Linked DNA regions of Sus scrofa. The protein of the gene in region 2 interacts with the protein of the main gene of each other region in a pairwise test. Links are inferred from orthologs where the notes say so. Each region holds a gene or a part of one and is shown on either strand. Other genes may lie near its edges.

Region 1 (4,263 bases), on a different chromosome or scaffold from region 2:
AGGATGCAGTGTTGTCACTGCCATGGCTCTGGTTACAGCTGTGGGGAGGGTTTGCTCCCTGGCCCAGGGAATTTCTGCATGCTGTGGGAGAGACCAAAAAAAAAAAAAAAAAGTGTAATATAATGGGGGACATCTTATGGACTGCATGGCAAATACATGAAGTCAATATGGAAAAGTAAACCACAGAATGAACAATATCACAGACCACCTCAGTGGTCACCAGAGTGAAATATCTTCCATATAAGAAAAAAAAATGGGAAGACTCCCCCCCCAGTATAAATAGGTAATTATATTAACTGTTCCAATTAAAGACAGCCCCACCACCACCACTTGCTGGCAAGAGTTAATTGGTAATGGCACTGCTGCTCAGCAGGGCCAAAATATCCTAAGGGATTATTCAGATTACCAGAAAAGACAGAGCTTTCATCTGACGATTTTCACACAAACAAACATGACAAATATAATAAATTAAAAAGCAAATAACCTTCACTGTGTTCAACACAAAAGGAGACGTGACCCAGATTTCTTAATTCTCCCCTTAAGTGCTATGAGAAAAAGAGATTGCATTAAACGTCTATTTATAACTTTTTAGTTAACTATGGCCAATAACACACAAGGAAGTAATTCATTGTTCCAATTTTTTATTTTTCTCTCCAAAGAGTTACAAGTTAAATTCTAAATTTTACACTGAAATATACAATCCCAATTTTCAAAAATATCTTTCTCCTAGAGCAGTGATACTTCAGTCTTTGGTGCAAATCTGACACAGAGCTCAACTGTCCTATGAAGAGAGTCAGTATTTTAAAATGAAACCAGGAGTTCCCATTGTGGCTCAGCAGTTAACAAACCTGACTAGTACCCATGAGGACATGGGTTCGATCCTGGCCTCACTCAGTGGGCTAAGGATCCAGCCTTGCCATGAGCTGTGGTGTAGGTCGCAGACGCAGCTCAGGTCCCAAGTTGCTGTGGCTGTGGTGTAGGCCAGCAACTCTAACTCAAATTCAACCCCTAGCCTAGGAACTTCCACATGCCACGGATGCCGCCCTAAAAACGACAAAAGACAAAAAAATAATAATGATAAATAAAATGAAACAAAAAAAATCAAGGTAGCCCAAAGGCCGCAGATGTCTGTCCAGTTTTGCTTTTCAACAGACTCAACAACGGGTGAGCCAAAAGCAATGAATATTTTACTTTCTGTAACTCATCTTCTCGGCACTGTCATTTTCTAAAGCAGTTCATACTCCTGACTCTGGTGACTGACAGGATCTCACCTTACTGGTCCAGGCAAAGGAAAAACGGAAATCAAGTCAGACAATGGGGAAGACACACGTTTTTCCTCTTCTCATCCCCAGGCAAATGAGGTCACTCAATGAGTATGTTTCCAAGGTCCCTCCAATTCTCATACCCTCACCAGTGACTGGCCTTAGATACTGTATTCAAAAACTTTTTCCAAGTTCACCCAGTAAACTTGTAAATGCCCAACTGAACTGTGAGCTCCTGCTAAGTATATGATGTTTTGTCCTGTGATGTTTCTTTAAAAAACAAAAACAAAAAACTAATGAATAAAGCACAGATTTACTCATTTATATTCTTTATACATCTCAGAAAAACTAAAAATTTTAATAGGGCAGTTAAAATTAAAAAAAAAAAAAAAACCCACCCCGGTTAATGCCATAACAGAAACTCAAAAATATAAAAGCAGTAAGCTCCTGTTTCCTACTACTTGGGAGGACAGTGTAGCAGGAGGGGAAGACAATTTAATCCATTTCCAATCTCTACAACTCTACTTAGGAAAGAGCATGGGATCTGGGGACAGATGACCAGGTACAAACCATCTGTGCCATCTTCTTGGTTGGGAAATGCAGCTCGAGGCTGTCAACCTGAGACTCGTCATTAACCCCACGTTACAAGTGGGAAAATCATCAACTCACAGGGCTTTGTGAGGGGCTGAGGGAGAGGACTTCCTGAACCCGAGCGCACTAGACGATGTGTACCCTTTCTCAGTCACGCTCCGCTGTGGGTGCTTCTAAGAGCCACGAATACAACACAATAAGCACGAACAGCCCCAGCCACCGTTCCTCGGAATCAATTTCAACGGCATGACAAGGACAGGCCTTGTGCAAAGACTGAGCAAGGCGACCCTGGCAGCTTTTACGTGGCAATCAGTACACACCTAGGCACTGCGATTATGAGGCGACAGGTAGACTTCCCGCCAGACCAACCCACCGGCTGCCCCTGACGTTGGTCTCTCGCTATCTGGCGGCCGCAGGTCCCTCGGGAAGTCGTGACAGGGACTCAAAGGGCCCTCGGAACGAGGTGAGTCAGGAGGAGTAAGGGCAGAGCCCGGGCCCAACAGCTCGACGCCGGCCCAGGTCCGGGTCCTCGCCCGACCAAGGTGGACGGACGTGCCGGCTGGCAGATACCGGCTGCGAGCCCCGCTGGGGACGCCAAGTCCGCCCGCGACCCGGGGGTCAGCTCCCCCGGGGCACTTGTGACGCCGGCGGGGGGTGGGCTCAACGGGGACCAGCGCGAACGGGCGGTTCAGGCCTCCCCGGGCCTCCGCAACCATGTCTGGGAAGCGGGGTCCCCCCCGCCCCGTTCCCGGCCTGCCCTTGCTCCCTCAGGTGGGCGGCGGGACGTGGCCGGCCCTGCCCAGCTCCCGAGGGCCCAGGCCTGCCAGGCCCTCCGAGGAGTCGGAAGGAAGACCGCGCAGACCGCAGACACTCACCGGCCGCGGGGCCGCCTCGCAGTCAGCCTGCACCGCGTCCGCGCGTCGGTCGGCGACTCCCTCGGGCGCCGCAGCGGAGCGCGCGGCCCGACGTGCGCACGCGCGGAGGCGGGACCTGCGGAGGACACGCCCCTGCGGCGGGCGCGGGGCTGCGCTCCCCGGCCCCTCCGCGCTCCGCCCCGCTACGGAAGTCCGACCGCCGGGGAGTGAAAACTCGGCTTGGTAGGAGGGGTGTTTATGAGGACGCTCTGTGCTTAGCGCTTTTCTTGCTCCGTGTCGCCACCGCTTCAGGCTCATCGCGTTGGGCTCCACCTGCCCCTTCTGTTCGAGCCACACTGGTTTCCAGTCATTTCCGTAACCATCCACCTGGCTGCAGCTTGAAAGACTGGTTTTGTCCGGTATTGGCAAAGGTGTGGGGAACGAACAGTAATTCTTGGAATTATTGTGGAAGGGGGAAACTGTCTGGAAAGATGTGTTAAAACTTGGAATAGGTATTCTCTTTGATCCAGTGCTTCCACTTAGGGGTAGCTGTTCTAGACAAGCACTAGAAGCCAAAGAGACACCAACAAGGACGTTCATTGCAACACCATTTCAATGACAACCTTCAAACAACCTAAATATCTGACCATCAAAAGGGGATGGGATGGAGTTGACAGAGGCACATCCTTTCAATAAAGTTGTGCCAGTCAAAAGGAAGGGTGAGAAGTTCCCTTGTGGCGCAACTGGCCGGCTATTGCTGCAGCTTGTGGCACAGGTTGCTGAGCCACAATGGGAACTCCTATAGTCGGTTTCTTAACCTACTGTGCCACAGTGGGAACTCCTCACAATGTAATCTTTCCATACATATATTTAGGCACGTAAATGCATCCAAAAGGGAAATTTTACACACTAGAATGATAGAGGGATGTCGGGGTCACTTGTGCTATATCTGTACAATTTAAATTTTTTATAAGAATGAATAAATGAGTCACGCATTATTTGGCTATCAAAATCAAATGTAAAAGAATGAATTTCTTTTTTTTTTTTACACACTGTACTGCACCTTGCCCCCAACACACACATCAAATTGGTTTAAACCAAGTGACACTGATTGAAGGAGGGGTTGCCTCAAGAGGTCAAATGAGATAATGTGGGGCTAAGTCTGTGCCTGACACATAGGAGGAGCCCAGGAAAGGCTTCCCACTGTTATCATCACTTGTACATGTCACTGGGCTGGGTAACAAGTGTTTTGCAGCAAGTCCTTGTCAGATATAAAATCCCACAAGAAATGCTGAGTCACGGCTGAGCATATGCCAGTCCGTAGCCAAATCGCTTCCCTCAGGCTTTTGGGGACCATCAGTTTGCTGGGGCTTCAAGAAACAAGAACTTCACCCAGGCTGCCCGTCTGCCTGCCCACTTTGGGACAGCTCCCTGGCACCAGCATCACTGACCAGAAGCCTGGGGAAGATATCTGTTCCTTGTCACTCACGGCCTGCACTGATTTCCAGTCTTAACGTTTAGCAAGGCCAAAGGGCACTGGAGTCACTCTGGTCCCA
Region 2 (3,500 bases):
CGTGTCCCTCTTTGGGCTCGGTCCCTGACTTGGGACGAGGGGACAGGACAAGGAGCTCTCTGAGGTCTCCTCCAACTCTGACACTGACCCAGAGAGGGGCCTTGGGCCTCTGAGCTGAGAGCGCCATGGGGTGGGGGCAGGGGGAAGGGGGCATGGCCCTGGCAAGAGGAGGGAGCCCCACACAAGCCCCAACGCACCGACCGGCAGCACTGCTGCAGCTTCACCACCTGGGCCCGCAGCTGGGCGACCTCCCTCTGCTGCTGCTCAAAGTTCTCCATCCGGAGCGCCAGCACCTCCGACAGCTCGGCCATCTGCTGGCTGGCCTCCGCTGGGGGGGAGGGCGGAGGTCAGCCCTGGCCCCCCAGGCCCTCAGCCTCCCAGACACCTCCATCGCCAGTGCCCCTCAGCTCCTGCCGAGTACCCAAGGTTCCGCAGAGCTTAGCATCCCTCACTCGAGTCTTCCTTCTTTTTCTTTTCTTTTTTTTTTTTTTTTTTTTTTTTGTCTTTTGTCTTTTTAGGGCCACACGCTCAGCATACGGATGCTCCCAGGCTGGGGTCAAATCAGAGCTACAGCTGCCGGCCTACACCACAGCCATACCCGATCCAAGCCATGTCGGCAACCTACAGATCCTTCACCCACCGAGCAAGGCCAGGGATCAAACTCGCATCCTCATGGATACTAGTCGGGTTCATTAACCACTGAGCCATGACGGGAACTCTGGGTCTTCAGTTTCAGTACACATTTCTGACTGACATAGGGTAAGCGAGTCAGCAAGACCAGCCCCAGCCCTCACTGAGCTCCAGACTCATGAGGAGACTCAGGGAAAAAGAATCACAGTCGTGCATATCACGGGCTGGGATGCAGCATGGCTAACGGGTGCAGCGGGGGCATTGATGCAGCAGCCAGGCTAGCCTGGCACAATCTGAGAAGCTAAGACTGCCACAGGGCAAATGGGGCTCACCAGGCAGAAGGGAAGGCAGGGTGTGGAGAGACCCAGAGGCAATTATGGGACATCAGGAGAGGGTGGCGGGGCAGTAGACAGGTTAGGGAGGCTGGGGCTTATTATGTGGACAGTGGGAAGTTTTTGAGGTGTTTAGGCAGGGGAGTGACATAAACAGATTTTTTTTTTTAGGGCCGCACTCGCAGCTTATGGAAGTTCCCAAGCTAGGGATTAAATTGGAGCTACAGCCACCGACCTACACCATAGCCGCAGCAACACCAGATCCAAGCCGAGTCTGCAAGCTACACCACAGCTCACAGCAAGGCCGGATCCCCAACCCACTGAGCAAGGCCAGAGATGAAACCCACATTCTCACGCATACTAGTTGGATTTCTTTCTGCTGCACCACGATGGGAATTCCCTGTTGTTTTTTTAAGACCCCACCTGAGGCATATGGAAGTTTCCAGGCTAAGGGTTGACTTTTTTTTTTTTTTTTTTTTTTTTTTTTGCTATTTCTTTGGGCCGCTCCTGCGGCATATGGAGGTTCCCAGGCTAGGGGTCGAATCCGAGCTGTAGCCACTGGCCTACGCCAGAGCCACAGCAACGCGGTATCCGAGCCTCGTCTGCAAACTACACCACAGCTCACGGCAACGCCGGATCGTTAACCCACTGAGCAAGGGCAGGGACCGAACCCGCAACCTCATGGTTCCTAGTCGGATTCGTTAACCACTGCGCCACGACGGGAACTCCTCCAGGCTAAGGGTTGAATCACAAGCTGCACCTGCAGGCCTATGCCACAGCCACAGCAACACTGAATCCGAACTCCATCCATGACCTACACTGCAGCTTGTGGTAACACCAGATCCTTAACCCACTGATCGAGGCAAGGGATGGAACCTGCATCCTCATGGACACTATGTCAGGTTCTTAACCCCACAGTGGGAACTCCCAGATCTGGTTTTACAAAATCCCTTTGGGCTGTGTGCAGAGGGCCTGGAATGGCAGGAGTGGAGGCAGAGAGAGCAGTTAAGAGGAGGCCTGGGCTAGAGGCAGCTGGGGTGGGCAAGAGGACAGAGACGTGAGCCTATCCTAGGAGGTAGAAGCAACAGAACGTGGGGACTCGCTCCGACTCCAGGGGCCTGGGACCAGGATTGGGGGGAGAGGGGCATTCAAGCAACCAGGGGCAGGGAAGGCAGATTTGGGGTGAGGGGAACAGCATGGGTTCAAGTGTTGCCATCTTGAGTCTGCATCTCCCCAGCTAGACCCCAGCTCCTCGGAGACAAATGCTGTGCCTCACTCATCTTCTTAAATTCCAGGCACAGCCTCTGTCTACTGTGTGACTCTGAACTGTCCCAGGCCCAGTGCCCAGGGTGCCTGGTCTCTAGCAGCCCCTCCCTCTCCCCAAAGAACAAAAGGAGATGGGCTTAGTGGAGCCCCCATGCATCTGTACAAAGCACTTCCTCAGCTGCCCCCCTGGAGAGGTCAGCAGGGCCAAGATCATTCATCCCCTTTCTAAAGATGAAGGTTCAGAAAGGTCAAGGAAATTGGCCAAGGTCACACAGCTAGGGAGTGCCAGAGCTGTGCCTTGAATTCCAAGTCTCCAGACTCATCCTGGGCTCTTCCCTCCATTCCCCAGGACAGCCCCCTATGCCAAGTTACAAGTTCACCTACAAAACTGCTCCACGCAGTCCAGAATGAGCATCTGCTCCTCCTCCTCAAGGTCGTCGAGCTGGGAGGCCTGGAGGGAGCGAGAGAGGAAGTGGCAGGGGAGTCAACACCCCGTGCTCACCAGCGCGCCCTCTTTCCCCATCCTCACCTCCTCTCGCAGCTGCTCGTTCTCCTCCTCCAGCAGCCTCAGCTGCTCCTGCAGGGCTTCCAGCTGCGGGCAGCAGTGCAACTCTGACTCTGCCAGAGGGGTCCTAGAGGAGGGAGCCATGGGAGTCAGGGTGCAAGGGCATGGGGCACCCAGTTCGCAGCCCACCCAGGGCTGCCTGCGGTGGTCGGGTACAAGGTGTCTCCATGGTGAACAAGAAAACCGGGGCTCAGAGAAGGGGTACCCAGATGCACCAGCAGGTCACGCACAGCTCCGAAGCTTTGTAGGAATGATCTCACCTCTGCTCTTCTTCTTCCTCCCCATCTTCCTCCTCCTCTTCTTCCTCTTCTTCTTCCTCCTCCTCTTCACCTTCCTCCTCCTCCTCCTCCTCCTCATCAGAATCCGAGTAAAGCTGGAGAAGGTCATCCCGCAGGCTCACCTGGTGCCTGAGATGTAAAATCTGGCCAGAGGAAGAAGAGCCTGGGGTCGGGGTGCAGACAGGGGCAGGCACAGATCCTGGCACAGTGAGATGGAGGCAGGCCTGAGATACGCCCCCTCCTGGTTCCTCCCCCCGGCGCCCTGGTACCTCCTCCCTGGCCGAGCCCAGCATGGCTTCCAGCTTGCTGTTCTCCTCCGTCAGAACACTGTTCTGTTTCACCAGGGACCGGCCAATGCGAGCTGCAGTGTTCAGGTCCCGTTCTCTCTGCAGAGGGACCCCCATCCATGGGGAAAACCTTCCTGGTTTC
Region 3 (3,939 bases), on a different chromosome or scaffold from region 2:
ATTCTCTTGTTACACAACAGAATGATTTAGTCAGGAAAATACCAATTTGGCCCAGAGAATACACTCCTGATTTGATTCCCTGGGTTACAAACACGTCCCACTATTCCAAAGTAGTTAAAGCGAAAGTCTGTGGAAACTGGGTTTTCCTTTTTTTCCAATTCTTAAAAATTACCTTACAAACTATTCATTATCTACAATGATGCATGCTATCACAGCAATTCCAATACAGTAAACATTATCACCTAGTCTGTTCCCAGGAAAACCTGGTGGTAGTTAACTGAGAAATAAAAACACTGCCTGCTCTATCAGTAAGCAAAGGATGTCAGTCATCAGTGATTTCAGCCACCTCCGATGGTGAGCTGGTGAGCCCTGAGCGAACACAGGCAAGAAACACCTGCCAGCCAGCAGCCACACCATATAGTGAGCCCTGAGGAAACTCAGGATGGAAAAACAGGGGATACTGGCTAGAGACAGCTGAGGTGCACATCAAAGACGTTATTTCAGTGAACCCAGACCTTGGCATCTTCTCATACAAAGACATGTGCTGAATTCCTTAACTTGAGGTTATCTGCCCTTCGTTACAGGACCCTCCCCTTGTCACCCTGCAAGAGTTCTCTCTGGGTTACTTGAGATGCTGCCTCCTAGACTTAAATCCTCATTTTGCCCCAAATAAAACTTAACTCACAGTTGTGCATATTTTTTATGTAGACATTTTTTTAGAAAAACACTTACCTTTGATTCTCAATTTCCAAAGCTGAATCAGAAACTGTTGTACAATTGTGAGAATCCATCTTGATATATAGTCTTCAAGCTCCTCTCAAAATTGTCACTTGTCCTTTGCTTTAAACAGACTTCTGACCATATGAAATCTGGTAGATGTGATGTAGTTTCCCTGAACAAATAAATGCCAACAAAACAGCTAGGATCAGAGTAATGCAGATATTGATGTAGTCAATTACGAAAATTAAGACAAAAATGAATGTAAGGCCTTTAATATTCTCATATACAACTGTCTAATTCTAACATCTAAAGATTTTATTCATGGGTTCTTTCAGTTGTGCCTACTTAATCCATCCTATAGAACAAGATTCCAGATTTCCTACAGGAGTGTCAAACTTCTTTTCCCTAACAGTAAAAATGTAATTTTTACCCTTAGCCATACAGTCATGTAGTTACAAATAGTAATGTTCAATTAATGGCCAAAAAGCCATTTGCCAACAGTGGTGGGAACCAAGAAATCTCTTGCATAACAAAGATTAAGTCCCACAAAGGCAGCCTTTGGCCTCAGTATACCCAGAAAAATTATTTGGACTTACCTAAACCTAACCTTCAGGTCTGCAATTTTCATTTATGGCCTCTTTCCCTCACTAGATTTTAAGTTACTGTGAAACCCCTTCCTTGATAAATTACTTCTTTGCTACTATGGGTGTTAACCCAAAGTTCTGAATTCTCACTTTTCAATGTACAGACTACAATAAATGGTGCCCTTTGTCTCCTTTAAAAAAAAATCTCCTTGGAAGATTTTACAGTAGTTTGGGAAAAGTATTAAAGATGTCTTATTTTGTTCTGTTTCATTTCCTTATGAGGATGTCATCATTCTTCATTTTTTTGTGGTGTTCTTAGTCTAACATTCTTAGTAATGACACATGAGTAATGATGAAAGAAATCCTTCAGCAGCAGTATTTGAAATCTAAGAAATCAATAAGATCACCTAGATCTTAAATTCACAATGTCTCATGGACTCGTGTGATAATTTCATAGTGTTTTATTGCAGTTTTCAAAACTGCGTTAACCTAAGAAATAAATCATGAAAACAGCCTAAAAAAGAAATTCAACAAAAACTGGATCCAATGGCAATGATGGAATACCTGACATTAAGTTTAAAATAATTACAGAGCACACTATCAAAATTAAGTAAGCTTAACTCAAAAATGTTTTTCAAGAGTTTCTATTGTGGCTCAGTGGGTTAAGGACGGGACGCTGTCTCCGTGAGGATGCGGGTTCAATCCCTGGCCTCACTCAACGATCCCGCGTTGCTGCAAGCTGCTTGGGTCACAGATCCAAATCGGATTCTGCATGGCTGTAGTGTAGGCCGGCAGCTGTAGCTCCGGTTCAACCTCTAGCCTGGGAACTTCCATATGCTGCGGGTGTGGGGATAAAAATAAGAAAAAAAAACTTTCGGGAACTAGAAAGCATTCCTATCGCTTCCTGTTCCGGGATTCTGCAACAAGGGGCCACGGAGCCAGGCAGTGCTCTTTAGCAGCTTTAACAAAATCCCTTCAACTCTTACTTAGTGCGACCTTGGGGCGAATGTCTCCAGAAGTGCCTAACCTCGTGCAAGGAAAATGGCGTCGGTAACGGTTACCTCGCACTTAACCACCACTAATTGAGAAAACGTGCACTCGCTTCAATACACTTGCACTTCAACACCCACAACTCCGATAACGGCCCACGCGCTTAGCCTGTACCTGTGAGTCCTGCCGCCCAGAGCAGAGCCCACAATCACCGCGAGCCCTCCGCTCCCGCTGAGCCGCGCAGGCGTCCCGGGAAAAGTGAAAAGCGCCAGGCCCTCCCCCTCCTTCGCCCACAAGGCCCCGGCGCCCAAGTCCTCTTTCCTATCCGTCCAGACCGCGGACGGCTTATACCAACCTGTGCCCGCTCTGCGCACGGGTCTCCGTTGGCGTCCTCGGTTGCAGCCCCGGCCTCAGAAACCCGCGTTGGGCGCGCAGGCCCAGAAAACACCCAACCTCCACAAACGCGCGGAAGAAAAGGCTGGGCTAGTCCCGCGTCCCAGCTAATAGTGGCCCCGAAGTCTCGCGATAACAATTTGACTGCAGGAAATAACAGAGAGATAGGAGAAAACCAGACGCGGCGCTCCATATTGGCTGCCGCGAGGGGCGGGGCGATTTAGAGTGGGCGGGACCTGAGCTTTTTAACCCAGGGGAGGCGGACTTGACTGAGGCCAGGCCAGGCTTCTGGTGTACGCGTCCTGAACCGGTAAGGTAAATGGAATAGTCAAGAACGTTTGGGCAAACTATGAAAAAGAAATTGTGGGGGCAGGGGAACGGAATGAATGTGAACTGCGAGGAAGAGCCACTTCTCCTGCTTTGACTCCAGTGGTCTCCCTTTGCTGAGCTGTCCTCCGACTTTCCAAAGTCTGATTCCGGGTGTGTGTGTTTGTGTGTGTGTCTACTTTTGCCTTCAAAAATCTCTTCTGTGTAAAATTGTGAGAGGATCATGCTGTGACTGAGAATCGAAATGTGTAACCTTTGTACTAGAAGCCATTGTTATCCAGTTACGCACTCAGTTCCCTCTCCACCTTCGGACTTGTTTTGTTAACTCAGTCTTTCTTTTGGAACTAAGGGTCAGCCTCCCAGGAGGTGGTTAACACATCGCAAGAGATGCCAGCGGGGGCCTTTTTTTTTTTTCTTTTTAGCCCTCTTAGTTCCCTGAGCGGTAAATGAGTGTTAAGGTAGAAGTTAAACTAGTTTAGTTTTGGTGGCAATTTTTTCCCCCGAAGTAGTTACAAAAAAGGAATGAGCTGTCCTGATTTGTCTACTTTCAGACCTCTTGTATCATATAATAAAACCAGGAAAGCTGTCTCGTGTTAATTTGTGGTTAGTGTCATCTCGGGATAGGACAGACCTGGAAGGTAATCAGGTTTCTTTACTCAATTTTTCTCTAAATGTTGTTCTAAATTCCAGGCGCAGAAAGTCTGGTTTTCTAGGCATTATGAAGTACTGTCAGCTCCAGGACAGGTATCACATGTCTTAGTCACTGCTATATTCCTAGGCAGGCCTGCATATGCAGTTTGTGAAGCTCAGTACAAAATGAAAATGCATGTATTTTATATGCATAACTGATTCACTTTGCTGTAAACCTGAAGCTAATAAACATGGTAAATCACATATACCCCAATAAAATTTTATTCTATTTTAT

The links.
Region 1: the proteins of HAP1 (region 2) and HMOX2 interact in a two-hybrid assay, tested with the Homo sapiens proteins (2 studies listed by BioGRID and IntAct). The link is inferred for Sus scrofa from reciprocal best matches to the Homo sapiens genes HAP1 and HMOX2.
Region 3: the proteins of HAP1 (region 2) and TAF1D interact in a two-hybrid assay, tested with the Homo sapiens proteins (2 studies listed by BioGRID and IntAct). The link is inferred for Sus scrofa from reciprocal best matches to the Homo sapiens genes HAP1 and TAF1D.

Annotation. Positions count from the first base shown.
Region 1 is NC_010445.4:37,865,333-37,869,595, forward strand, and holds the start of HMOX2 (heme oxygenase 2), read right to left. Parts: upstream 2,801-4,263; 5' UTR 2,729-2,800; intron 1-2,728.
Region 2 is NC_010454.4:20,941,467-20,944,966, reverse strand, and holds part of HAP1 (huntingtin-associated protein 1), read right to left. Parts: intron 3,458-3,500; coding exon 3,341-3,457; intron 3,215-3,340; coding exon 3,054-3,214; intron 2,861-3,053; coding exon 2,758-2,860; intron 2,680-2,757; coding exon 2,613-2,679; intron 329-2,612; coding exon 198-328; intron 1-197. UniProt on the Homo sapiens protein: Originally identified as neuronal protein that specifically associates with HTT/huntingtin and the binding is enhanced by an expanded polyglutamine repeat within HTT possibly affecting HAP1 interaction properties.
Region 3 is NC_010451.4:26,164,483-26,168,421, forward strand, and holds the start of TAF1D (TATA box-binding protein-associated factor RNA polymerase I subunit D), read right to left. Parts: upstream 2,801-3,939; 5' UTR 2,650-2,800; intron 893-2,649; 5' UTR 792-892; coding exon 733-791; intron 1-732. UniProt on the Homo sapiens protein: Component of the transcription factor SL1/TIF-IB complex, which is involved in the assembly of the PIC (preinitiation complex) during RNA polymerase I-dependent transcription.